Caenorhabditis elegans: one gene and its partners. The protein of the gene in region 1 interacts with the protein of each later gene in a pairwise test. Each region holds a gene or a part of one and is shown in the gene's direction. Other genes may lie near its edges. The genes, in order: gopc-1, snb-6, grl-4 and clic-1.

Region 1 (7,633 bases):
CTTAGACAGGGTTTTTCTCAGCTTGTTTGTACGATATTTAAAAATTTTAAACTACAGAATCATAGAAAAACCGAAAATCAATTTTTTTGTCAGTTGACGAATTTTTGATAGCACCAAAATTAGCCGAGATATCGACTGTCAAAGTCAGTTGATTTGGTGTCGATGCACCATAAGCAGAGACTAGGTCACCATACTTCGGAATTTGATTTTTATAAATTTTTGGATTTATACATGCAAAAATTGTAAAAAAAACATGTGATCAATATTTATTCAGTGCTGAACCTATACTCTTTATATATTTAATTAATTTATAACACTTTCAATTAAAAAAAAAAACATAAATATTCGTTGTAAAATTATTTTTAACAATTTGAACAAAAAAACCATTTTTCGTAACTCAGTGAGGGGGAGGACAACCGCCGAGCGAGCGGGAAATAGATCAAACTATGGATAAGACATCTTGTGTGCATAGGAGCACCTAACAGTTTATGTAGAAGTTTTCTACATTTTTGGTGTTAAAATTTTTTAATCTATGTATCTATGTATGTTAATCTATGTATGAGCTATCAAATGAGCTATCAAAGATGAGCAAAAACTTTTGGACATGATGCATTGAAGGCTGTCCCTGTTTGAAGCTTTTATCTGTTTAGCTTTTTGAAAAACTTTACAAAATACCTTGTTTTAAGACATGGTGCATATATCACTGATGTCTTTTGTTTTATCAGGCAGCTGACAACTAACAAAGTATTTTTTGAAACTTGCAAATTGAGCCGAAATATAAGACATCTAGAAAACTTCAATTATGGTCTTGTTGAAAAAAAAAGAAGAAGATGATCTTCAGCCATCATCACGTTTAGCCGAAACGGAACTTTTGCGTTTCACATTTCCTCTCCCGCTCCCCCCGCCACCGCTGCTTCGACTCCTTAACATAATTTTCGGCGCACCCCGTACACGGAGACAATGTGATTTGGCGAACCTCTCTCTCTTTCTGTGTCTCTAGCCTTTCTCACATGGCTCAAGCCAAGGGGGGGGGCTCATCTTACTTCTTGATCCGCTTTTTCGACTCTGCTCATAAGCTCAGTTTCGAGTGGAGACTATGTTCCAGGATGGTGGTTATTCTCAGAGTGGCTCACCGACATGGCCCGGTTATTCTTATACTCAATTTTTAGAGCTTTTCATTTCAAATGTAAGTTTATTTTTAAGTTTCAAAATTATATTTCAAGCCCGACGGGCTCCAGAATGCTGAATTTTGTTCCAGATATTCTTTGGAATTTAACTAGGCTTGTAGTGAAGTCCCGTAAGCTTGTGGCTCTAATAAAAAGGGACCGTAGAGAAGCCCAGATATTTAAAATCTAAAGGGAAACTGTTTGACCAGAAGATTAGAGCCCAGTTGTCTTAGATTAGCCTAGTAAAAGTCCGGAAGCCCAGAACTCTCAAAATAATTACGAGCACCTGTAGCCCACAAGTGCCTAATTTCTGACTGTCAAGCTTGTCGACCCGTACTGTCAAGGAACTTTGTCCAAGCTCAGCTAGGCCCGTTCAAGCCCACATGACTGTAAACGCATTGGGATTAGAAGCCAGGATAGGATATACCATGATCCAATGCACCATGACCCCACGGAACCAGATAGTGCCTCCATTTACCATAATGTACAAAAAAAATTCAGCCTTCTGATGGTCCCGTCATACTTTTAGGCAAGCTTGGGCTCTCAAATGAGCACAAAATCCCAAAATCCCACTTTGTTTTCAACTCATTAGACGTTGAAAAAATGGAAAAATCAAGCTTCCTCCATTAAAAACCAATTCCAAAAAGGCGACTCCAAATTGAATTAGCTTTGCGCAGAGAGCATGCAGAGGAAGTCGTTCAGATGAATAGTGGTCAATATAAAGGAAGCGGGGATAATAATTATCGGATACTTTTCAACTACTACCGCTTGTTAGTGTTCGGCTAGTAATAGAAGTGCCAAAAAATCGTCGAGTGGAATTATAGCGTGTTAGGTCGTAAGGGGTAGAAACTCAAAGAAGGTGGATTCCTTTTAAAAAAAACCTTAAAATCTTGTTAGATCGGAGTAGCTTCATCTTAGGTTGGAGTAAAAATTCCACATTCTCAGGCCGGACTAGAAACCCCATAGGTCGAACTAGAAGCCTAATAGGTCGGACAAGGACTCTGCGGAGTATAACCCCCTAGTTCGGTAAAGAATAATCTTAGGTCAAAACAGTATCACTTTAGGTCGGAGTAGAATCCGCTTAGGTCAAAGTAAAATCTCGAAATCTTAGATCGGAGTAGAATTCTAAAATCTCAGGTCGGGGTAAAGTTTTTTAGGCCGGGGCAGAGTCTCAAACTTTTAGGTTTAGGGAGAACCCCTTGGGGTTGAAGTAAAATTTCATTAGGTCAAAGTAGGCTCCCTTTAGGCCGGTGTAGATCCTAGAGCTCCTAGATCGGAGTAGATTTCTAAAGTCTTAGGTCGGAGTAGAACCTCAAAAGTTAGATCGGAATAGGACCCTAAAAACATTAGATCGGAGTAGATTTCTAAAATCTTGGGCCGGAGTAAAGTTCTTTTGGATCGGAGCAGAGCGTCCTTGGGTTGAAGTAGAATCTCATTAGGTCAAGGAAGGGCCTAGAGTAGATCCTAGAACTCCTAGATCGGAGTAGATTTCTAAAGTCTTAGGTCGGACTAGAACCCCGTTAAGTCAAAGTAAAACCCTATTAGGTCGGATCAAAACCATTCAGGTCTACTTAGCACCTATAGGTCAGTGTAGAACACCCATAGGTCGGAGTAAAACCCCCAATTTCGTAGTTAAAGTAATTATCGTATACTTTTCAACTGTGCAACAAAGAGGGAACAAAAATGCGAAAAACTTTTGATTTGGTGTGAAAGTATACCCATTGACACACACACACATGAAGCTCCCGGAATTGGGGTCCCTCCTCTCTTTTTCTTCGTCCTCTTCCACTCTCTCTCTCTACCATTCCCACCCCATTTTTTTTCTTAAAAACGAGCGAGGCATCTTCTTATTCCTCACAGAGCCCCCCGACGCCTTTCTCTAGAAAAGACGGGAAGAAAACGACAATTGGATTATCCGGTGTCCCCCGACGGCTCTTTTCCACCCTATTCCAACAAACACACACACACACACACCCAGTTCTCCACACATATCATCATCATCATCATCATCATCATCACCCCGAAACTAGTGTTTTACTAAAAAAATGAGCCATTGTGCGGCTTGCTCTGGCGCCAGGCTTCAGGCCCAGACTGTGCTTAGGGTGGACCCGGAGTCTGAGTATTTTGAGTGTGAAGCTTCTGCGGTGAGTGATTTGGGCTTTCTAGGTTCTAAGCCTAGTCAAGCCCGGCTTTTTTATCCTCTTGGTTTGAGTCTACCAAGCCTAGCTAAACCCGGATCCTTGATCCATCCGTTCTTGGAAACCAATAATTCGAATTAGATTTCCCATTGACTAGCCTAGACTTATGAAGCCTATCATTGTTGAGCTAAACTAGGCCCGGTACCTTGAAACTTCCCGCCTAGTCTGAAACGACAACTGACTGGACCGGGCCCTTTTCAGCTTAGCCTGAATCATATTTATCCAAGTATTTGCCCATTTAGGCCCGAATTTTTGGTCCGATCAGCTTATCTTATTCCTTATTCCAAATCAGGGCTCTTTTCACAACAGTTTGCTCAGCTAGGCCATATAAGCCAGAGCCGTCAAATTTTCTAATGACTAGCCGGGATCCTTGATCCTTTCAACTCAGCCAAACTTTGATCGGAACCCTGCCCTCCCCTTGATTACCCCTAAAACCTCAAAATTTCCAGATGGAAGGTGGCTCAGGATGGACAGAATCATTGGAGAAAGACTTCGACAAAGCATTCGTCTCACTGGATCTCCTGCTAGGAGAAGTCGACTCGGACCAGGTAAGAGCTTAGAACTTCAGGCCACCTGATCAAGCCCAGGTCCACAAAATCCTAACGTATCCAGGTTGAGATCACCTACGAGGGCCGGCAGAAGATGACGTCATTGAGCGCCTGCTTTGCACAAATGATGCACAAGTGTCAGTTCATGATGCACACAATTAGTAAACAGGAGAAGGTGAGTTTAGGCTTGCTGAAAAAAGTTGGATTGTTAATTTTTTCAGGAAATGATAACAATGCGCGCCGAGGTCGTGGAAGCCCGCGCCGCTCGACAGAGCATGGAGAAGGAAGTGGAGCAGTTGATGATCCAAGTTCACTCATTACAATGCCAACTGCATTCCAAGACGGCGCCGCATGAGTCAGACATGATTAAGAAGAAGCTGGAGACCCAGCTGACACAGTTTCGATCAGAGCTTACACAGGGTTTGAGCACGGTTTGTGAGCTGGAAATTGCAAGAAAGGAGTGTGATCGGTCAAAACGGACGATTCAGGCCTTGGAGACTGAGGTCTTCGGGGCCAGGCTGGCGGCAAAGTACCTGGATAAGGTAGGCCATCGGGCTTTAAGGCTTTAAGGCTTCAAGGCTTTACATACCCTAATCTTCCAGGAACTCGCAGGCCGGATACAACAAATCCAGCTCCTGGGACGAAACATGCGCGGCGTGGAGCACGACAGGCTCTGGAACCAGCTGGAAGCCGAAATTCACCTCCACAGGCACAAGACAGTGATCCGGGCTTGCAGGTAGGCGGTCACGTTTCCCATGGCCGCTCCCCACTTGAACAATTTGCCATTCTTGCAGAGGACGGGGTAACACGAAGGGATTAACGGCGCCACTTCGTCACAACTTCAAGAGCCTCCGAAAACGAAATGGAGTGGGAAAGAGCAGGAAAGTGGTGCTCTCGAAACACCCGCACGAAGGGCTCGGCATTTCTATTACGGTAGGTGGGGGGACTTGGATGGTTTTGGGCCAGTAGATCATTGACTAGACTTGTTCCTTTGGGGATCCACGGGATCCTGTAAGATCTGAGAGTTGATCCAGTTCCCGTAAGACCAAATGTGCCATCTGATTATGAGGTACTTTTGCACGTGGTGTCAGGCTGTCCCATTGCGGTTTGATCTACAAAAAATGCGGGAATTTTTCTCCCAGTCAGTTGAAAAGTCTGCGTCTCTTTTCCCGCATTTTTTGTAGATCAATGTAGATCAATCTAAAATGAGACACTCTGACAACCCCTGCTTTTGTAGTTCTGCTGCATAGCTCAAAACTACTCCAGATAGTTTGCGGAGCTCCGGATGGATCCTAGTTCTTCAAGATCTTAAAAAATCCTACTGGATCCTAAAATCCATTTCCAGGGAGGATCCGAACACGCTCTACCCATAGTGATATCTGAAATCCAGCCGGGACAGCCTGCTGACCGATGTGGACAGGTCTTTGTGGGCGACGCGATTCTCTCAGTAAACGGCTACGATCTTCGGACTGTCAAGCATCAGGAGGCAGTGGATATTTTGAGTGGGCAGGTAAGATGCTGCCAGGGGCCCTCCACCTACATCCCCTCCAAATTCCAGGTACAGCAAGGCGACCTAGACCTGGAGCTCGTCTTTGTGTGCCCCGATGAGGATAGTGATGATGATGGGACGGTGACGATCGAGCACAGCGATGGATCTATGTGAGTTATTGGGAATTTTTCGGCGGGAAATTTGAATTTCCAGTTAGTTTTTAGCGGGAAATTTAAATATTCAATCGATTTTCAGCTGGAAATTTTGATTTTCTGTTAATTTTTGGCGGGATTTTCATATTGCCAGTTAATTTTAGGCGGGATTTTTAAATTTCCAATTGATTTTGAGCTAGAAATTCAAGTTATAAGTCAGTTTTAGGGAGGAAATTCAAATTCTCAGTTAACATTTAACTGGAAATTTAATTTTTTAGTTAATTTTTCAACTGGAAAATCAAAATTTTGGTCATTTTTCAATAGAAAATTCAAATTTTTTGTCGTTTTACTATAGGAAATTCAAATTTTTAGTCAATTTGCGACAAAAAATTCTAAATTTTCTGTCTATTTTCGGCAAGAAATTCAATTTTTCAGCCTATTTTTTGGGGGAAATTCAACTTTTTAATGAATTTTTCGGCGGGGAATTCCAATTTTTTGTCGTTTTTCTATAGGAAATTCAACCTTTTAGTTAATTTTTCGACGGGAAATTCAAATTTTCGGCCAAATTTCAACAGAAAATTCGAATTCCCAGTCAAATTTTTAAATTTTTGTTTTAGCTACAACCTCTACAGTATGGAAGAGCCCACGTCAAGCCGATCGTCCAACAATTCTGATGAATCACGCAGCACGTGACCTCCAAAATGTGGAATTTTTTGACGGGTTTTATTTAATTTTTTTTTCAAAAAAAAAACTTTTTTTTGTATATTTTCCCGTGACTTTCCTCCTCCCCCTAATTGCCACGTCATTTCCTCCAACTCATTGGATTTTTTTTTGGCTTTTTCCAACTTTTTGCATAAAAATCTTTTATTGTTTGAGTTTATCGATTTTTCTTCCGCAAAAAAATCAATAAATGACGTGTCAACAAATCAATCGTCTTACTGCTGTCTTCAATACGGCAATGTCCAAGGCGCTGGCTTCCGATGAGAAGGACGACTGGATTACCCATTTGAAGGCAATTTCGAATGTTTTTACGCAGGTAATATGATCTTCCGGTCGGGCGGGAATTTGAAAATTCTGGGAGAAATATTGATTTTTTGGAAAAATGTCAGTTTTCCGGCAAATGTCATTCAAAAAATTATTGATTTTTCGTCGCACTCCAACGACACTCCGATATTCCGCTGACTAAAAGTAGGCGTGGTCAGGCGGGAATTTAAAAATTTCGCTTTGAAAATCAGTAAGAAATCATCGATTTTTGTGAAAATTGTTAGCTATCCGGCTCGAAATATCGAAAAACGGTTTGAATTTTGTTTAGTATAAAGTTTCTTTAAAATCCCGGTCGGGCGGTAGTTTAAAAATTTTAGAAAAAATCGATAATGTATCGACTTTTCGGTATCCCGGTACAAAACTGTGGCGGGAATTTGAAAAGTTTCCAATAGTTACTTCAAAACTCCTTTTTCTCGGTTATTGAAAACTTGGCAATGACGAGAAAAATCGATAATTTATTAATTTATCACAAACTATTTTTCCAGGTTTGCACTTTGTCCGCCAGTGAAGAATCCGCTAAGAAATTGGCAATCAAGGAGCGTGAGGAGTGTCTCCAGGAGCTCGTGGAGCTTCGTGCCATAGCTGAAGCCCATGATGACGTCATCCAGCAGTTCCACTTGTTGCTGGCCGCGAATCATCAGGGAGACGCGACTTCCAGGCAGATTTTCAATGATATGGTGAGGGAATGTTGCCTGCCTATACCTACCTAGGTGCCTACAAGTACTAGGCAGGCAGGCACTTTCGTGCCTACCTGCCTACTTCAACGCTTAATATTTCAGAAACAAGAAGTCGGTGACAATATGGAAAGGATCCAGGAGCACCGTCTTGTGGAGGCTAAGCTCAACGTGGAGAAGCGGCGTAACGAGCGGATGGCGAAGCATATCAATGAGGTGTCCAAGAAGAGTGTCATGCATCTCATGGCAACCAGGTTCTACGCAAGGGTACGGTTCTACCTAGTCGATGCACCATGTGGGGTAGAGGTTCAGGTAGCTCTGGTTACCCAAAAATTGGTGATTTCCACTTTGGCCACATTTTT
Region 2 (5,023 bases), on another chromosome or scaffold:
GGGCAGCTAAATTTTTTGGAGAGATCATAACTAACACTCTTCTGTAGGAATTTCAGCATGAGAACTCCAAATCTACGGACCCCCTCAAAGACTTCCCTTGTAAGGGTAAAATAGTTGTTTAAAAAAAATTTAAAATAGAAGGAAGTGATTTACACACGTGTAGATTTTGTTCTGCTCTCGACATGTTTACCGCATATTTCCTTGGTTTGTTTTTAGTTAACTAATAGTCTAGGTTAGAAATAACATATAGCAATGATTATATCGCAAAAAATACACAATGGACCTTTAGGGTTGAAAGAGAAACCAAAAACAAAATTAATTCTCAAGAAAAATAAAAATACTTAGAACGGGATCCTGGTTTATTGAAGAACCAATATTGACAACTAATTTATTTGAGATTAAATTTTCTTTTTGATTAGGAATCAAAGTGAAGTGGATGTTAAAACATCAAACGATTTTTGAACAATTTGAACCACCACTAATAATTTCGATTAAAATTTTAGAACTTTAAGTACTTTCAGAGTTTCCAAACTGGTACCATCTGCAATTCAAATTGGACAATGATATTCCAACCACTGTCCTATATATTCTTGTTCATATCTTCAGCGATTAACCCAATTCTATATGCATGTTTATCAAAACGGTTTAGGAATGCACTATCTGATGTAATACACTGCAGGTTAGTTTATAAAATATTCCACAGAAATACTACATATATTCTTATTTCGTATTGAGACTAATAAAATACAGAATTAAAAATCAGTTAGATAAGGTTTCAAGACAATCTTTTGCTCTTTGTACATCACTATAGTATAGATTCTGCATTTAAATTTATTTCTGGATGAGACGATTTTCACAGTCGTGTGCTGTGTGCGTTGTGCTTTGCGTCGTTTTGTCATAAGATCACAGAGTACAAAATTAGTTCGCAAACTCGAATCTAATACTTTGATATTTGTGTACTTATTTTAGGAAAACTTACTAGTGAACAAATGGACTATCTATATTTTTTTCAGGAAAGGAGTGTTCTCAAGGATATCTCGCTCCCGAAACAGGACGCTTGTCAGCGATGTTCCACCAGAAGATTCTCGATGTCCAAGTCCTGCTCCAATCAGAATGCACAGGATTCGTTGATTTAAAAAAAAATCGTTGCTGTAAATACTTGTTTATGTACATCGAATTATAGCTCAATTGTTCACTGCAACTTTTTCCTCACGAGGGACGAGGAAAAGTGGTTTCTAGGCCATGGCCGAGGGGCCGACAAGTTTCAGCGGCCATTTATCTTGCTTTATTTTCCGCCTGTTTTCTTTTGTTTTTCACAGCTTTTTCCCGTTTTTTCTTATTAAAACTGATAAATAAATATTTTTTGCAGATGCTAAAACAATTTCCAAGTAAAAAATAATGCTATCAGTCGGCAAGTAGCGGTGAAAGTGGGCAATGTAATTTGATGGATTACGGGAATAAAAAACCCAAACTTTTTCTGAAACATGGTATATATTCTGCTTAGAGGCTGAAACTACCCGATTTTTATAACGAGACCGCTGAAAAAGTTTTGAGATTTTCAAAACTCGACATTTTGTGCGAAAATCTCGACTTTTTCACCAAAAAAGTTGAATTTTGAAAACCTCAAAACTTTTTCAGCGGTCTCGTTATAAAAATCAGGTACTTTCAGCATCTAAGCAGCATATGTATCATGTTTGGGAAAACGATTGGGTTTTGTATTCCCGTAATCCATCATATTACGTTGCCCACTTTCACCGCTACTTGCCGACTGATAACATAATTTTTTTACTTGGAAATTGTTTTAGCATCTGCAAAAAATATTTATTTATCAGTTTTAATAAGAAAAAACGGCAAAAGGCTGTGAAAAACGAAAGAACACAGGCGGAAAACAAAGCAAGATAAATGGCCGCTGAAACTTGTCGGCTCCTCGGCCATGGCCTAGAAACCATTTTTCCTCGTCCCTCGTGAGGAAAAAGTTGCAGTGTTGTTCCGGAAGTTGAATTATTTTTTACGGGTTCCTTCGAGTATAAATGAACTTTTCTTTTCATAAATTGTCCAAGTTGTTCTAACATAGAATACATAGTGAAATGCGGAAATAAATGCCAGTAATCTAAGAAAATGCGGGACTGGCGGAGAAAATAAAGAAGTCAGCTTTCTCCGGTAAACCGATAATTGGGAAAAGTTTGTTTAGGAAGGATGTTTTAGAGTATTTCTACTTATAGGGTTTTTCAAACACTTGTACTACATGAAAGGTCTCGAAAAATTAAAGAGTTCTAAAATATACAATTCTTATATCATAAATTAATGCCCCGTGAAAATCTTGTTGGTTAGAAAACACACGTGCCATCATTCCAACAAAAATGAATTAATTTCAAAAAGTATCAATACATTTTATTTGCTGAAACAGCAGACGCTAATTACTTCATGATTCATCAACAACTACCAGTGAGTCGTATTGGTTGGGACGATCAAAAGATTATGAGAACAAGACAGGAATTGAATTCGGTTTGACATTTATCATTAGAAAAATGAACAATTATATTTAGGTGAAAATCATCATGAAGGAGAACGTGCAAAAAATTATGGAGAGACAGGGAAAACTTGACGATCTCGTTGAAAGAGCTCGTAAGTTTCATAAACTGGGAGTTTTGGTTTCAAAAAAATTAATTTATTAGAAGTAAAAAATTAAGATTTAATTTCAGAAAAACTCGAGGAAGCTTCAGATGTTTACGTCAAGTGTGCTGTCAAGGTATTTAAAAATTGAAATAAACAACAAGTTAATTTAAATTTTTAGATCAAGCGTGAGATGAGCTGGAAAGCCAATGCTATTCGTAATGGTATCATCGCCGTATCAAGTGTGTCTGCTTTTGCCGGAATCGCATACGCATTTCTCTGAATGTTCAATTTCATATATCAATATGATTTATTGATTTAACAGCCTCTATGTATTGAATAAAGTTTTGAATTTAGAAAAAAAACATTTTTGTTTGTTAAAGTTTTCTTTCAGATTTTCCAAAATTGCGAACAAAATATTTTAAGTTGTTTGCCACTATTGTGAATACTAACTTCTAAATTTGTTTTCTTCCTTGTAATTTTCCAGAACCTTTTCAGAAAAACATCACTTTCTGATCCAACCAAATCATTAATCCACTTGACAACTCAACGATGTTTATTTTTTGTCCCAAGACATTCCATGTTTTCCATCATTTCATCGTGTGACCCATTCATTCATCAACCCTGAATTCAAATGCAAATTCTGCTGAATCACTGATCAATTGTCTATAAAAAAAAGTAGAAATAGCTGGAACCTCGATCGAATCTATTTCTTTTTCCCACGTCACAGTTAGTTGAATAGTCGCTGTTTGTTCAATTGATACTATCGTCAATTTATCATCTACTGAACCCTTTGAATACCTGTTATGAAATCATTGTTCACTGAATATCAAGAAGCTATCAATTTATTCGATATGATTGGTGAATCCACTTTACTGTCTATGAAACTGCTATTCTAAGTAAACTGTATCTCCTCGATTTTCAGTAACATTTAGCGAATGAAAGTTAAGATAAATTTCTTTGAATTCTTTTAAAAATTTGGTGCAGATACTATTAGACTAAAAAGTTTTTGAAATAATTAAGGAATGTGTCAATATTGTAAAACATATTTGTTTGTTATATGGCTACGGGAAATCTGTTGCCGGTTTTTCGGTGGTGCGGTATTTTTCTAATAATATTTACTACAATTTTAGGCTCTGTGAAAGAACTGAAAACCTTTTTTATCTGAAACATCTAGAACGTGGAATAAAAACTCCAAAAAAAATGAATTTACAAAAAGCTATCGCACAATTAAATCGTGGACCATGTCGTCAAGATGCGGATTAATAAGCCGAACGGTAGACGTAGACAGAAGCCGTAATCTCTCTCATATTTATATAGTCTCCTTACTCACTGTGAACAGATGGCGCTCGTCCGTATCCTCCCGGGATGACCTAGTACTACTTTGGTTCAACGCGCAGACATAATGACCTTGCATTTCCTTTTTCCCGTTCGTTAAATTATATTTATGAAATAACTCTACTCTCGTTGTGTTATCATTCTTTGATATATCACATCGAATGTGTGTTATTGTTTTTGTGATAATGTTTTTGTGTCAGAGTAACCTTTCAAATTAAATTTCAAAATTATTTAAAATACTGTAATTCCTGCATTCAAATAAAACTTCATTCCTATTAAAAATCTGCAACATTCGCCAACTCAATTTTATTTCTAAAACACGTTTCTGGATTAGTTTCTCGGTATTCACGCTATAAAACATAATTAGGTCACTGGAACCAATTATGACTAATTTCAAGTGGTTGTTCACTTTCAAAAGTCAAATAATTACTGAAGGTGTTCCAATGTTGTTCAAGAAGTCACAGTCATAATTAGAAAAATTTGATTGTGGTCAAAACAAAACTACTTAATGGTATTAATAGTAAATGACCAAAATCAAATAGCTATTCATTCACTCGACGCAATTTTTTGGCATTTCATCATAAGCACGGCAAGTCATAAAACGAATAGTAAGTTATTGAATAAAACAGAATAAACTAGTTAGGATACCGGGCAGTCACGTAATCGTTTTGTTGATTTTATTATTCAAAATACACAGCGAAAATGAACGACACGATGAGCTGAAGCTGTTCAGTTGAGTGGGAGATAGGGAAAGATAATTCATTAAAGCAACCAGTTAATACATTTTCAAAATAATAAGTATGTCATATGACTTTTATTCGTCAATGTTCCAACATTTATTTTCAAAAAAAACTGTTTTGGATAATTGAGGAATGCTTAATCTTGTTGACCATCAAAAAGACCAAAAATAATGTTTACTGTTTTTAAATTGAAAAACATCTTTGGAAATCATACTTATTTTTCTTTAAAGTTTTTAACTTTAGATAATTCAAGAACAAACTCAACTATAATTTTTGCAGTTTGCTTCTTTAAATTGGATTTTTAGGGAAGCTTTATGACATTTTTTCATCTA
Region 3 (5,139 bases), on another chromosome or scaffold:
TTTCAGAGACTACTCGCAAGACCCGTATCGTTGATACCATGTACAACGCTACAAACAACGAGTTGGTCCGTACCAAGACTCTTGTCAAAGGAGCCATCATCAGCGTTGATGCTGCTCCATTCCGTCAGTGGTATGAGGCTCACTATGCTCTCCCACTTGCCAGAAAGAAGAACGCCAAGCTTTCCGAGGAAGACAACGCCATCCTCAACAAGAAGAGATCCCACCACACCATGAAAAAGTACACCGAGCGTCAAAAGACTGCTGCTGTTGATGCACTCCTCATCGAGCAATTCAACACTGGACGTCTTCTCGGTAAGAAAATTCAGAAATTTCTTCAAGTTTAATCATTATTTTTCAGCTCGCATCTCTTCTTCCCCAGGACAAGTCGGACAAGCCAACGGATACATCCTCGAAGGAAAGGAACTTGATTTCTACCTTCGCAAGATTCGTGCCAAGAAGGCCAAGTAAATGCCTTTTGTGGTTGTTTTCTTGTTTTTGTTACATAAAACATAAACGAATTGTTACTAGAAATTTGTTAATAGCACATTTGGAATAAGGTTACAACTGCAGGGATTTTATGCATTATTGTTGGGCGAAGGATATACAATGGTGATTCTATTATTAAAGATGTTCCTGACAGACAGCCCATGGGTCTAAAGGAATTTCAGTTCGGTCTGCAAAGGATTGCTTTTTAATAGAGATGTTCTCGGGAAGGCTGAAGTAGTAGTGATCAGAGATGGGCTGGCCAGTATGACATGAACATTTTTAATACATCGAGAAGAGTTTCGTTCTGGATTAGTATGAGCTCATAATGCACAGTTTCAGAAGCGCCTTAAGTTATAGGTACAAAAGCAGTTTGAAAAGTTCGTGGTGTTTTAAAGTCTTGTTAATTCGAATCTGGCAATGTCGAGAAGGAAACTAAACGTGGATGCCAAAATATGATTTTTAAAAGTAAAAAGCTTTTCTCATTTATATTCCGACTCATTCTGACTTCGTTGAAATAATGGAGGAAATAAAAGCAGATCAGGATAGACGTGGAAAAATGAGATTAAGATCTTACTGTACTTTTTAAAGGCGCACGCAAATTTTCAAAAAAGTTTGTTTCGTTTCAAGACCGAGGATTCTTCGTTTGTTCCATGAAAATCAAATGTTAAATTTCAAAATTCGGTTCCTAGATTTCAAAAAAAATGAAGAAAAATCAAAAGAGTTCGATTTTTGGAAAGTTATGACGTCATAACTTTCCAAAAAATCATATATGACTAAAAATTGTAATTTTTTCAACATAAAATTAACCAAAAATACGTATTGTTTTCTAGATTTTCGTTTTAGTTTTTTTTGAATCACCTCTAAAAATTATAAGATACCGTATTTCCTCTATAAGTAAGGCATGCAACACTAATTTTCGGACACCTAATTTGATGCAAAACTAATGGAGGAGCAAAACTAATTTTTGAACAGGTTTTTTCTCATGTTTTCCATTAAATTATGGCATAATATCATCAATTTCAATAACAACTTATGAACCAAAATGGACGAATTTTACGACTCATACGCAAACATTGTCCGAGTTGTACTCATATTTTGCCAATTTTGACTTATTATACCAAGTCTGTAAAAGTTTTCCTAATTTTTAGAACGATTTTGTAATGCAAATTTTGAATTCCTAAAAATAGGGAACAAATGAATGGGAGCAAAACTATTAGAGGTGCGAATCTGATAGAGGATGCAAAACTAATTTTCGATTAGTGATTTTAGATGCAAAACTAATGGAGGTGCCTAACTAATAGAGGAAATACGGTAATAAAAAGTAAAGATGCTTCCAAGGATTACTCATACCACAACCAGTTTCCAGATCTTATGTATGCATCAATTTCAATAGGAAAATGAATAAAGTAATGATGTGCGACAAAATTTACCAAAGGTGTCAGATAACCTTGAATGTGAACAATGAAAGTTCACTTGTGATTAGCATTTTCCAAATCATTTCAGATTCTCAATTTCCAGTAAATTTCAATTGTCTGAAAATTAAAAAGTTTAACTTCAACAGAAATCGTAAAAGAAAAAGAAAAAGCAATCGGATTCACCTACTCGTCTCCTATAATTAATAGGTGACGTAACACGATTACTCATCATCCAATTCAAAAAAGGAGGGAGAAGCTGTGTGAAACCAGTTCTAGAGGGTCAAATTCTCGACAGCAATGAGGTAATGGAGGCGGTGCCAAAAGATGTCAGGGTCAAAATGGCAAAAAGGTATATAAGGTATTGATGATGATCAAAAGAAAATGCCATCTTCTTTTCTTTGTTTCAATTCAAAATCTTATTGATGAGATGAGGACAGATGCCGATCACAAACCCTTTTTCATTTTATTTTTCAAACCACTTGTTTTCTGGAACCAAGTGATCTTATTACCTAGACGCGAAGGTCTCGGCACGACACATTTTTATGAAATGCAAAAGTGTGTGTGTGCGCCTTTAGAGAGTACCGTAAATTCAAACTTTCATATCAGTGGAATTTTCGTAGCTTTTATCAATATTTGGTATAATTTATGTACGCGTTTGTATTGTTGTTTTCGAATTACAAAATTAAAACACACCTTTTTTTCAGAAAACTTCGCAGAAAATTTGAAATTACAGCATCCGAGACCGGGTACTATAATTTCGGCGCAAAGCTTCGCGTCTGGGTAATATTTAAATCCAAAATCCCTCAATTCGGAAAATTTTCTTTTTTTTAATCAAAAGTTTTTATTTTCCAGATGCTTCTGCCCATTTCAATTCTCTTTTCAATCATCCCTATAGCATCTTCAACATTCGGAGGATGTTGTTCAATGGGACCACCACCATGTCCTCCACCTCCACCACCAATGTGTGCACCTCCACCTCTTCCGTGCCCTCCACCTCCAATCTGCCCACCTCAATTCTGTCCTCCACCACCGATGTGTCCTCCACCACCACCTCCACCACCACCGCCGATGTGCCCACCGCCACCACCACCGATGCCATCATATTCCCCATGTCAATCATATGCTCCAGCTCCGGTATTCAATCAATATGCCATGCAACCAGCCAACGATTGTTGCTGCAGATGTGGAAGCCCATGTAGATTCATGGCTAGACATAGAACTCATGGATCAAAGGTACGTTTCTTTGAGATTTCATCTAGACTTTGGGAATAATTGTTTTTTGTTTAGCTGTTCACCACTGAGGATCCAGAGGAAGATCCAACCTGCAACAGCAAGAAACTCAGAAGAGTTATGGAGAGGGTAATATTATAAATTTCTGGTTTAAACTCTTAACTTTATATTTACAGAACATGAACGGTGACCCATCGATCTCAAAGCGTGCCATCCAAAAGGCTGTCGAGGAGAAGATGTTCGGAAAATTCAATGTTATCTGCGCAAGAGGAGACTTCTCCTACGTAGCATACACCGAGACCTACTGCCAAGTGGCTAACGACGACGTCACTTGCTACGCTTTCAGACCGATGTAATTCTTTGTCGGTTATTCTTATTTGTCTTCGTTTCCTTTATTTGTGTAGTAATTATTATATACTTCGAGAATGCATTCCGGTTTGTGTTGTATATATGACCTTCACTTCTCTCTTTGTCTATCACTTCCCTCGTCCCCCGGTTTTTTTCATTTCTAATTTGCTACAAAATAAACCGACGATCTCGTGCAAGATCCCATTGTTTTTGAGAACTTTGAACGTGAACATTGGAATATAATAAGAAGCGGAAAGTTTGAAAACAGAACATAGTAGAGTTATACTTCCAAACAGGTACGGTGTCGTCTGAAGGAGCGGGGGAAACGAATCTCCCCTGGACAGTAACCGTCACAGAGCGGATTTTGTTACGTGGCTTAGAAAATACAAAAACTAATGATCCTACAGTTGTCCTACGGTACCCTACTACAGTACCTTACAGTACTACCACAGTACCCCAACAACATCTAATCGCGATCCCCCACTCACTATCACTTCAAAATAAAAATACTCTTTTTTTTCTAAAACTACAGTAATCCTACAGTACCTTATAACACCACTCTTCTCACATCATTTCGGCACATTCTAGTTACAAATGTCTATTTTTGCCGAATATCATAGGAAAAATCTTTAAAAAATAATTGATTTTTAAAAATTTCAGTCACAGTTTTGGTAAATTGCTAAACTTTCAAAAATTGTGGATCTTTCGAGGATATTTTAAAACAGATACTAACCATAATCAAATAGTTGACAAAGTCACTTTTATTTCCAATTTCCTGCACCTAATTTTAAAAGATCCCTTTCAACTATCAAAAACAAAAAAAAATGCTCAACACAACGCGAAAATGTAAATTTTTAGTGCATCAAAAGAAAATAAAAGAGCCATAACTCTGCAAATTGGCTGAAATTAGATTGAAGAGACCGTCTGCTCGTGCTCTCAATTGTTCATAGAAATGTTCTATCGATCGCCATCTTGATGCTCTTTTCTCATCGAAAGACGTTTTTAAATTCGTGTTTTACTAGTTTAATTCAGTTTTTAATTGCATTCTACAACTTTTCATTACTTTTGGCACAAAATTCAGAAGAGACTCAAACAGAGGGATCAATAGGGACTACTGTGAGCTTCAAGGTTCTTGGTTTTGAAATTTTGAAAGATATCATTCAGACTGTGGTGAAGATTGAAAGTGATGCAATTTGGTGTCCAACACATCGAGTTGGAAATCAATGTCCTGAAGAAACTCTTTTATCTTTTTACAAATGTTGTGGTCATTTAAACAAAGAATGTTGCTTTCATCTGAGAGTCTGGGTGTGTTATTTTGAAAACTCATTATTCCGATTAAATTAAATTTTCAGATTGTCATAATGATAATTGTTCTTCCAATCTGTCTCGTTCTTCCTGCATCCACTTTCCTAATCCGCCGAATTTTGTGCTCCTCAAGTCAACAACCAACCGGAAGAGCCCCTTCAGCAGCGGATCGTGTTCGTCAACTAGCTGCAGAAGATTCAACAACTTTTAGAAGAGATTCTGATGATATGGTTATGTTGTAATTTGTCCTCTCTACATAAGATTATGAACATTTAATTAGAAACTACAATAATTTATTCAATGACAGATTCATTTTGTGTACCCGTTAAGAGATCATCAGAAAAATACAGAATTG
Region 4 (5,655 bases), on another chromosome or scaffold:
ACCAAAAATAATGAGTCAAGTTTGAACCAAAATGTTATCACTAAAAATCATACGGGAATTTTGATTTTTCAGGTATTTCATTTACCTGATAAGGCTTGTTCATTTTTTCTTATTCCGTATGAGTATTTTGATTTTAACAATGTTTGTACACTACTCCTTTCAAATTACGTTTTTTTCTAGTAGTTTTGAATTAGAATATACATATTAAAGAATCAAATGTATGGGGTTTCCCTCAAATTTAAAGTTATTACGAAAAAAAGGTTTCCAGCTTTATTCAAAATTCACAAAATGCCACGCGAGAAACAATTGAGATCATTTAAATCAAACGTGCCCACCATTGGCAAGAATAACTTTTTTAATGATTATTAACAGAAAACCAAAATTTGGAATAATAAATGTACATGCCGCAAAAGTGTTTTGCGTAATTGGTAGGGAAGCTATAATGCAAATTCGAGTCTCAATTTTCTGTAGGCGATCAATCATTATCCGATAAGTTTGATATACAATTGGATCTTTTGTGCATTCAAATTCATCATTATTGATCAAAATGCAGTTGGTAGATTTCAGATGTTCTTGTAGAGTGCATGGTGGAATCAGCACGAAAAATATGTAAAAAATTATTGCAGCAAGGTTGAATCCAAGAATAATTGAGTATAAAAGAGGATTAGAATTGAAGAATCTGTAATTTAAAGTTACTATTTTCAATTATAATTTAGACAATCAGCCAAATTTTGCTACCGGGACTTTTACACTTACGAGGTGATATAGATACCATTGATTAGACTCCACAACAAGAAAAATGGTGCAAATCCGCCAAGGCTCGAAAGTGAGCCATTGGTAACTAATATCATCTCGAGAATTTCATTCTGTCGGATATCGAATTTTTCTAAAACGCCAATGTTTTTCAATGTTTTCTCTTCTTTTGCTTTTTGCAGCTCTTCATTAAAATAATTAACTTCGCGGTTCAGAGCAGAAGAGATAAAAATGTAAATTGCAAGACAGATTGTCGATATGTACCAAATGTAGAAGTTTGTAACCAGAATGAAAATTCGCGAGAGAAAATTTTGCTCTCCTCTGAAACATTCAAACATTTAAAAAAATCGAAATTTCATTTATCATTCCCAGATTTTCCTAGACTAGAACTTACCCTCCATAATATATCTTTCCATTGATGAAATTGTAGATTATCCAAGACATCATTGCTACAAACCAAGGTATTGAGAAGCACAGAGCAAGAATATGCAGAATACGAAAATTATCCAACTTTGGATTTGCCACCTGTCGTAACATTCGAACTCGTACCAATCGTCCGCAAAACTTTTGGACCAGTCCATTTTTAGTCCACCCAAAAACACAAAGGGAGCACACAAATCCAAATAAGGCAGAATATCCGAAAAAATTTCCTTCTCCCCATCCGAACGATAATGGCTGTAGAAAATATCTCGTAAGTTTTTCTGTTTTGAAACTCAATTTCCACTTACAGTTCCAACTGTTTCCATTAAAATTGGAATTCTTATGAGTGTTACTACGATCATAAAAAGTCCTAAAATGCATGTGAAAATAGTCATTCGTTTAGATTTTGCAGAACAATCTAGCAATGAAAGCTTCACCAAATACCTGAAAGGGCCAAGTAGTTCTGACGATATATCATCTGAAACTTTTCAAATCATTATAGAAAAGTTTATGTATACTTCACCATCGGAAGAAAATACGGGAAGGGTGGACATTCCAAAACTTTTAAAATCAAGTCAACTCCGTTCTCATTTTTCAAACCTTTATACAAAGAAGATCCACAGAAATGATGTCAAATTTCTTTTCTTTTTTGTGACTCGTTACGAATGTGAGTCATTTCAAAGTAGATAACATTCACTCAATTTTGTGATACGGTATTTAATGTTGCGGGAACATACTTATTATTGATTAAATAAATATTGATTTTCAATATAGGTGAAAAGCTTTGGGTATTCAACGGGCTTGAAATAGTTTGAATATAATTACACTCATCTAACTCTACTTTGGCAGTGTTTTAAATGTTCAATAAATTCCTGAAAGAGAGAAGTAACATTTTTTGAGCAGTAGTGAAATCGTTTAATTTGAGATTTTAAAACACGGAAGTTTCTCTACAAATCCCTATGATTAATTTCCTTTTCACGAAAATTTTCGCGAAAAATGAAGCTCTGTTGCGAAATTTAATTTTCAAACTTCCGCCAACAACCGGTCGCGTCGCGTGCGCGCGTTGCGGCTCCAGCTGTCCTCTTGATTCATTCCACTATTTCGCTCTTCCCAACACGCTGTCCTTCTCGGATTTTCCAGTTTAACCGCTTGTTTGATTTGTCATCTTCGTGTTTTCTAAAGCTTTTCTGTCTCATAAATCACTTGTTTTATCTGCTAATTATTGATTTTTTCCAAAAACATTTAAATTTTGAATTTCCAGGGTATAAAACACAAAAAAACTACAAAATGTCGGATCCAGTGGCGGATTTTTTGGCTCGTGAACAGAATTTATTTGCTGATTTTGATGGGGCACCACCAGCAGCTGCAGCAGCTAATCCAGGTAAGATTTTGTTATGAAATTTCATGAAATCGATGATTCATTTGTTTATTTTACATTTAAAGTGATTTTTCTAGATGCGCCAGAAGCCGATGCTCCAGCTCCAGCTCTTGATGATGACTTTGGAGACCTCCAGGTTTTTAACAACTTTCTTCAACAAAAAATATAATATTTTGCTTTTAAGATTGCTGGTGACGAGCCACCACCGGTTGTGCATCCAACTGATTCCGGAGTCGATTTGGATGGACTTGTCGACGACAATGCTGCCGCACCAGCAATCGTTGTTCCTGCCGTAGAACCAATGGTGAATGGAAATCATTCTGCTTCTTCCGGAGGTTCTAAAGGTCCATCACCAATTCTCTCAACTGTCCCAAGAATTGAGGCTGAAAAAATTCGACTGTGGAAAGCTCAGCAAGAGCAACTTCTTTCGAAAAAAGATGAAGCTGAAGAAAAGAAAAAGATTGAACTTCGTGCAAATGCCAAGAAGGAGCTTGAAGAGTGGTATAAACAACGCGAGAAGACCCTTCAATTGTCACATGACGAAAATCTGTAAGTTTTCGAAATTCGATTAGATTCTTAAACACGTAAAACCATTTGCATGAAATATTGAATTCAATCATTTTGAACAAAAATAGCTAAATTATTAGAAATTGCTCAAAATTATACTTTTCCCAATTTTCATTTTAAAAATTGCAGGAAAAACGAGAAATCCAATCAAGAACTTTTCGCCAAGCAACAAGATGGAGATGCTCAATGGGAAACAGTGAACAAGCTCGTTGATCAACAAAAATCGAAGAGTGGAAAGGATCTGAGTCGTCTGAAAACCCTGCTTGCTGGTCTGAAACATGCTGGAAAATAAACAAGTATCTTGAATATTTAACGCAAACACTTATATTTTTCTCGCCGTTATTTTTCCTTCGCATATTCGCTTCAATTCTTTTCACTGTTAAATAATGTATTTATTATTTATGAGCAAAAGTAGTCAAGTTTACGTTTCCCGATTTGGTTGTCATTCACTTTCCCTCCCTCCAGCCACCACCATCATTTTGTGTCGCCCTTCAAATTTTTTTCAATTCAATCCCCTGTTCTAATCAATCCATTTGAGCTCCGATTTCCGATAATCCCTTTCTTGTGATAAGTAAAAAAAGAAGATGAACTGTTTTACCGCCCCATGTTCGTCTTTCTTAATAGCGTATCCGTTCGCTTCTGATTCTTGCTAGGTGTTGTGTTGTGTTGTGGCATGCTCTTTTGTTTTTCTGAAATCTTTAGCCCAACGCAGCCAACATCTGGCAGTTTCAGATGAGTTTTGGAGATGGCAATCCCACGTTCGAAGAACTTATGGAAGTTGTGCAACGGCAGCAAGAAGTTATTGAACTTTTTGAGCAACAAATTGAAGCCTGTCGTATAGAATGTGTGAAACTGGCAGATGAAAGTGAGAGAAAGAGTGAGCTGTTTATTGAAATGGAAAAGACTGAAGAAATTATGAAAAATGAAATTGAATTTTTGAAAGTAAGTGAGAAACTTTTATGTTAATATTATTCACATGACAATATCAGATGTTTTTGAAAAAAGGAAAAGAATAAAATACTATTTGATTATTATCCAGATGCGAAAATTTGCGATTTATGGCTCAAATATGGTCTAGACACGACCGAATATATTCAAATGAAAAATAATGTGCGCCTTTAATAAGTACAGTAGTATCCGCGAAAAGGTGTTTTGAAAGTTTATTTGATATTTTCTTTAGAAAACTTTCATTAAAAAATATTTTTGTGAAACTAAATAATTGAGAAAAAAAAACAAAATGTAGAAAAGAAAGAGGAAATTTTTTGTGCAAAAGAGAAAGGCGAAACTGGAGACTACTGTACTTCTTAAAGGCGCACTCTCAATTTTCATTCGAATAAATTAGGTCGCGTCGAGACCGGACATCGTATTTTTGTCTTAAAAATCGCAAATTTCGCCACGCAATAATACATCCGAAATTTCCACAGACCGGGAATGATTCAAAGCGAAATGAACGGGAGGAGAAAATAACTGATTCGGAGCTGGAAACTGTTGGGGAACTTAGGATCAAATGCAAAGAGGTATTTAAATTCTCGGTCCCGCTACGAGTCAAATATATTTCCAGCTACCGTACCCGTGAGTACGGTATGTTTTATTTTTAATGGGTTGGCTGATATGTATCATGTTTCTAATAATTGTTAATATTAAAAAAGGTTATAAATCAAAAATATTAGAAAAAAACGGATACACGCACAATGAAACTCAAGGGTACGGTAGCTGGCGAATTTTCACTGCAATTTTTGCCATATTTCATGGATCATTTTAAGACCAGTGTAAAAGAGAACATGCATCATTAAAATTACCTGAAATACTTTACCAATTGCATAACTATTCCAACTTTCAGATAACCTTCAACCTAGAAAAACTCAAAACTCAAAACGCCGCACAAGAAGTTGAACTGGAACTTCAAAGGAAAAATAATGAACTTCTTCGATTGGAACTTGATTCCGAACGACAACAAAATTACGATGGAAAGCGCAAAGCTACAGTAACCACTGAATCCATTCAGAAGGATATGCTAGAAAAATGTGCAAAACTTCAAGAAAGTCAGACTAAATATCAAATTGATTTAGCTAGAATGAAATCAGAATTAGAGCTCAAAGAGCACAGGGAGAAACAATTGGAACGACATTATGAAGACATAATGGATGAGATGAAGGAAATTCGAAAAGAAAAATCATCGGCAATGGTGAAATGCTCTGCTATGACTTCTGAAATTGCAGAGCTCAAAACTAAAATTCAGCAGTTGAGAGGGAAGTTACCGAGAAATGAGCATGATATAGAGGATATGAACAAATTGCTTGGAGATCAGAGTCATTTGATTGCTGCGTTGAGGGAAGAGACAAAATTGTTGGCGAGAAAGTTGGAAGGAGACTCCAGGGATTACAGGTAGGGTAGGGGTGATCTAATTGTAAAAAAAGACAGACGCGCTAGAAACAAGAAGACATACCTTCCAAAAGCTTCCAAAGAAGCTAACTAACAAATATCGGTATTTCCTTGGTGTTTTTGATAACAAACCTACCATAAATTGAAAAATTTAT

The links.
Region 2: the proteins of gopc-1 (region 1) and snb-6 interact in a two-hybrid assay, tested with the Caenorhabditis elegans proteins (one large-scale study listed by BioGRID).
Region 3: the proteins of gopc-1 (region 1) and grl-4 interact in a two-hybrid assay, tested with the Caenorhabditis elegans proteins (one large-scale study listed by BioGRID).
Region 4: the proteins of gopc-1 (region 1) and clic-1 interact in a two-hybrid assay, tested with the Caenorhabditis elegans proteins (one large-scale study listed by BioGRID).

What each region holds. Positions count from the first base shown.
Region 1 is NC_003279.8:14,184,474-14,192,106, reverse strand, and holds gopc-1 (Golgi-associated PDZ and coiled-coil motif-containing protein), read left to right. Parts: upstream 1-3,139; 5' UTR 3,140-3,211; coding exon 3,212-3,310; intron 3,311-3,813; coding exon 3,814-3,912; intron 3,913-3,976; coding exon 3,977-4,087; intron 4,088-4,133; coding exon 4,134-4,454; intron 4,455-4,514; coding exon 4,515-4,648; intron 4,649-4,706; coding exon 4,707-4,845; intron 4,846-5,257; coding exon 5,258-5,422; intron 5,423-5,470; coding exon 5,471-5,571; intron 5,572-6,170; coding exon 6,171-6,246; 3' UTR 6,247-6,479; downstream 6,480-7,633. Other genes in the region: ZK849.1 (PDZ domain-containing protein), read left to right, coding at 6,512-6,589, 7,083-7,274, 7,377-7,538.
Region 2 is NC_003280.10:8,857,021-8,862,043, reverse strand, and holds snb-6 (V-SNARE coiled-coil homology domain-containing protein), read left to right. Parts: upstream 1-2,347; 5' UTR 2,348-2,424; coding exon 2,425-2,505; intron 2,506-2,546; coding exon 2,547-2,625; intron 2,626-2,702; coding exon 2,703-2,749; intron 2,750-2,794; coding exon 2,795-2,896; 3' UTR 2,897-2,978; downstream 2,979-5,023. Other genes in the region: npr-20 (Thyrotropin-releasing hormone receptor), read left to right, coding at 522-679, 1,014-1,131.
Region 3 is NC_003282.8:7,308,373-7,313,511, reverse strand, and holds grl-4 (Ground-like domain-containing protein), read left to right. Parts: upstream 1-2,751; 5' UTR 2,752-2,753; coding exon 2,754-3,134; intron 3,135-3,188; coding exon 3,189-3,260; intron 3,261-3,307; coding exon 3,308-3,487; 3' UTR 3,488-3,674; downstream 3,675-5,139. Other genes in the region: rps-8 (Small ribosomal subunit protein eS8), read left to right, coding at 7-312, 359-468; F42C5.6 (DUF2650 domain-containing protein), read left to right, coding at 4,455-4,595, 4,644-4,784, 4,832-5,026.
Region 4 is NC_003283.11:7,731,691-7,737,345, reverse strand, and holds clic-1 (Clathrin light chain), read left to right. Parts: upstream 1-2,434; 5' UTR 2,435-2,460; coding exon 2,461-2,554; intron 2,555-2,628; coding exon 2,629-2,687; intron 2,688-2,735; coding exon 2,736-3,100; intron 3,101-3,247; coding exon 3,248-3,410; 3' UTR 3,411-3,722; downstream 3,723-5,655. Other genes in the region: srr-10 (Serpentine Receptor, class R), read right to left, coding at 322-679, 757-1,074, 1,148-1,428, 1,482-1,651, 1,697-1,727; T05B11.7 (uncharacterized protein), read left to right, coding at 3,851-4,060, 4,543-4,635, 4,959-5,503.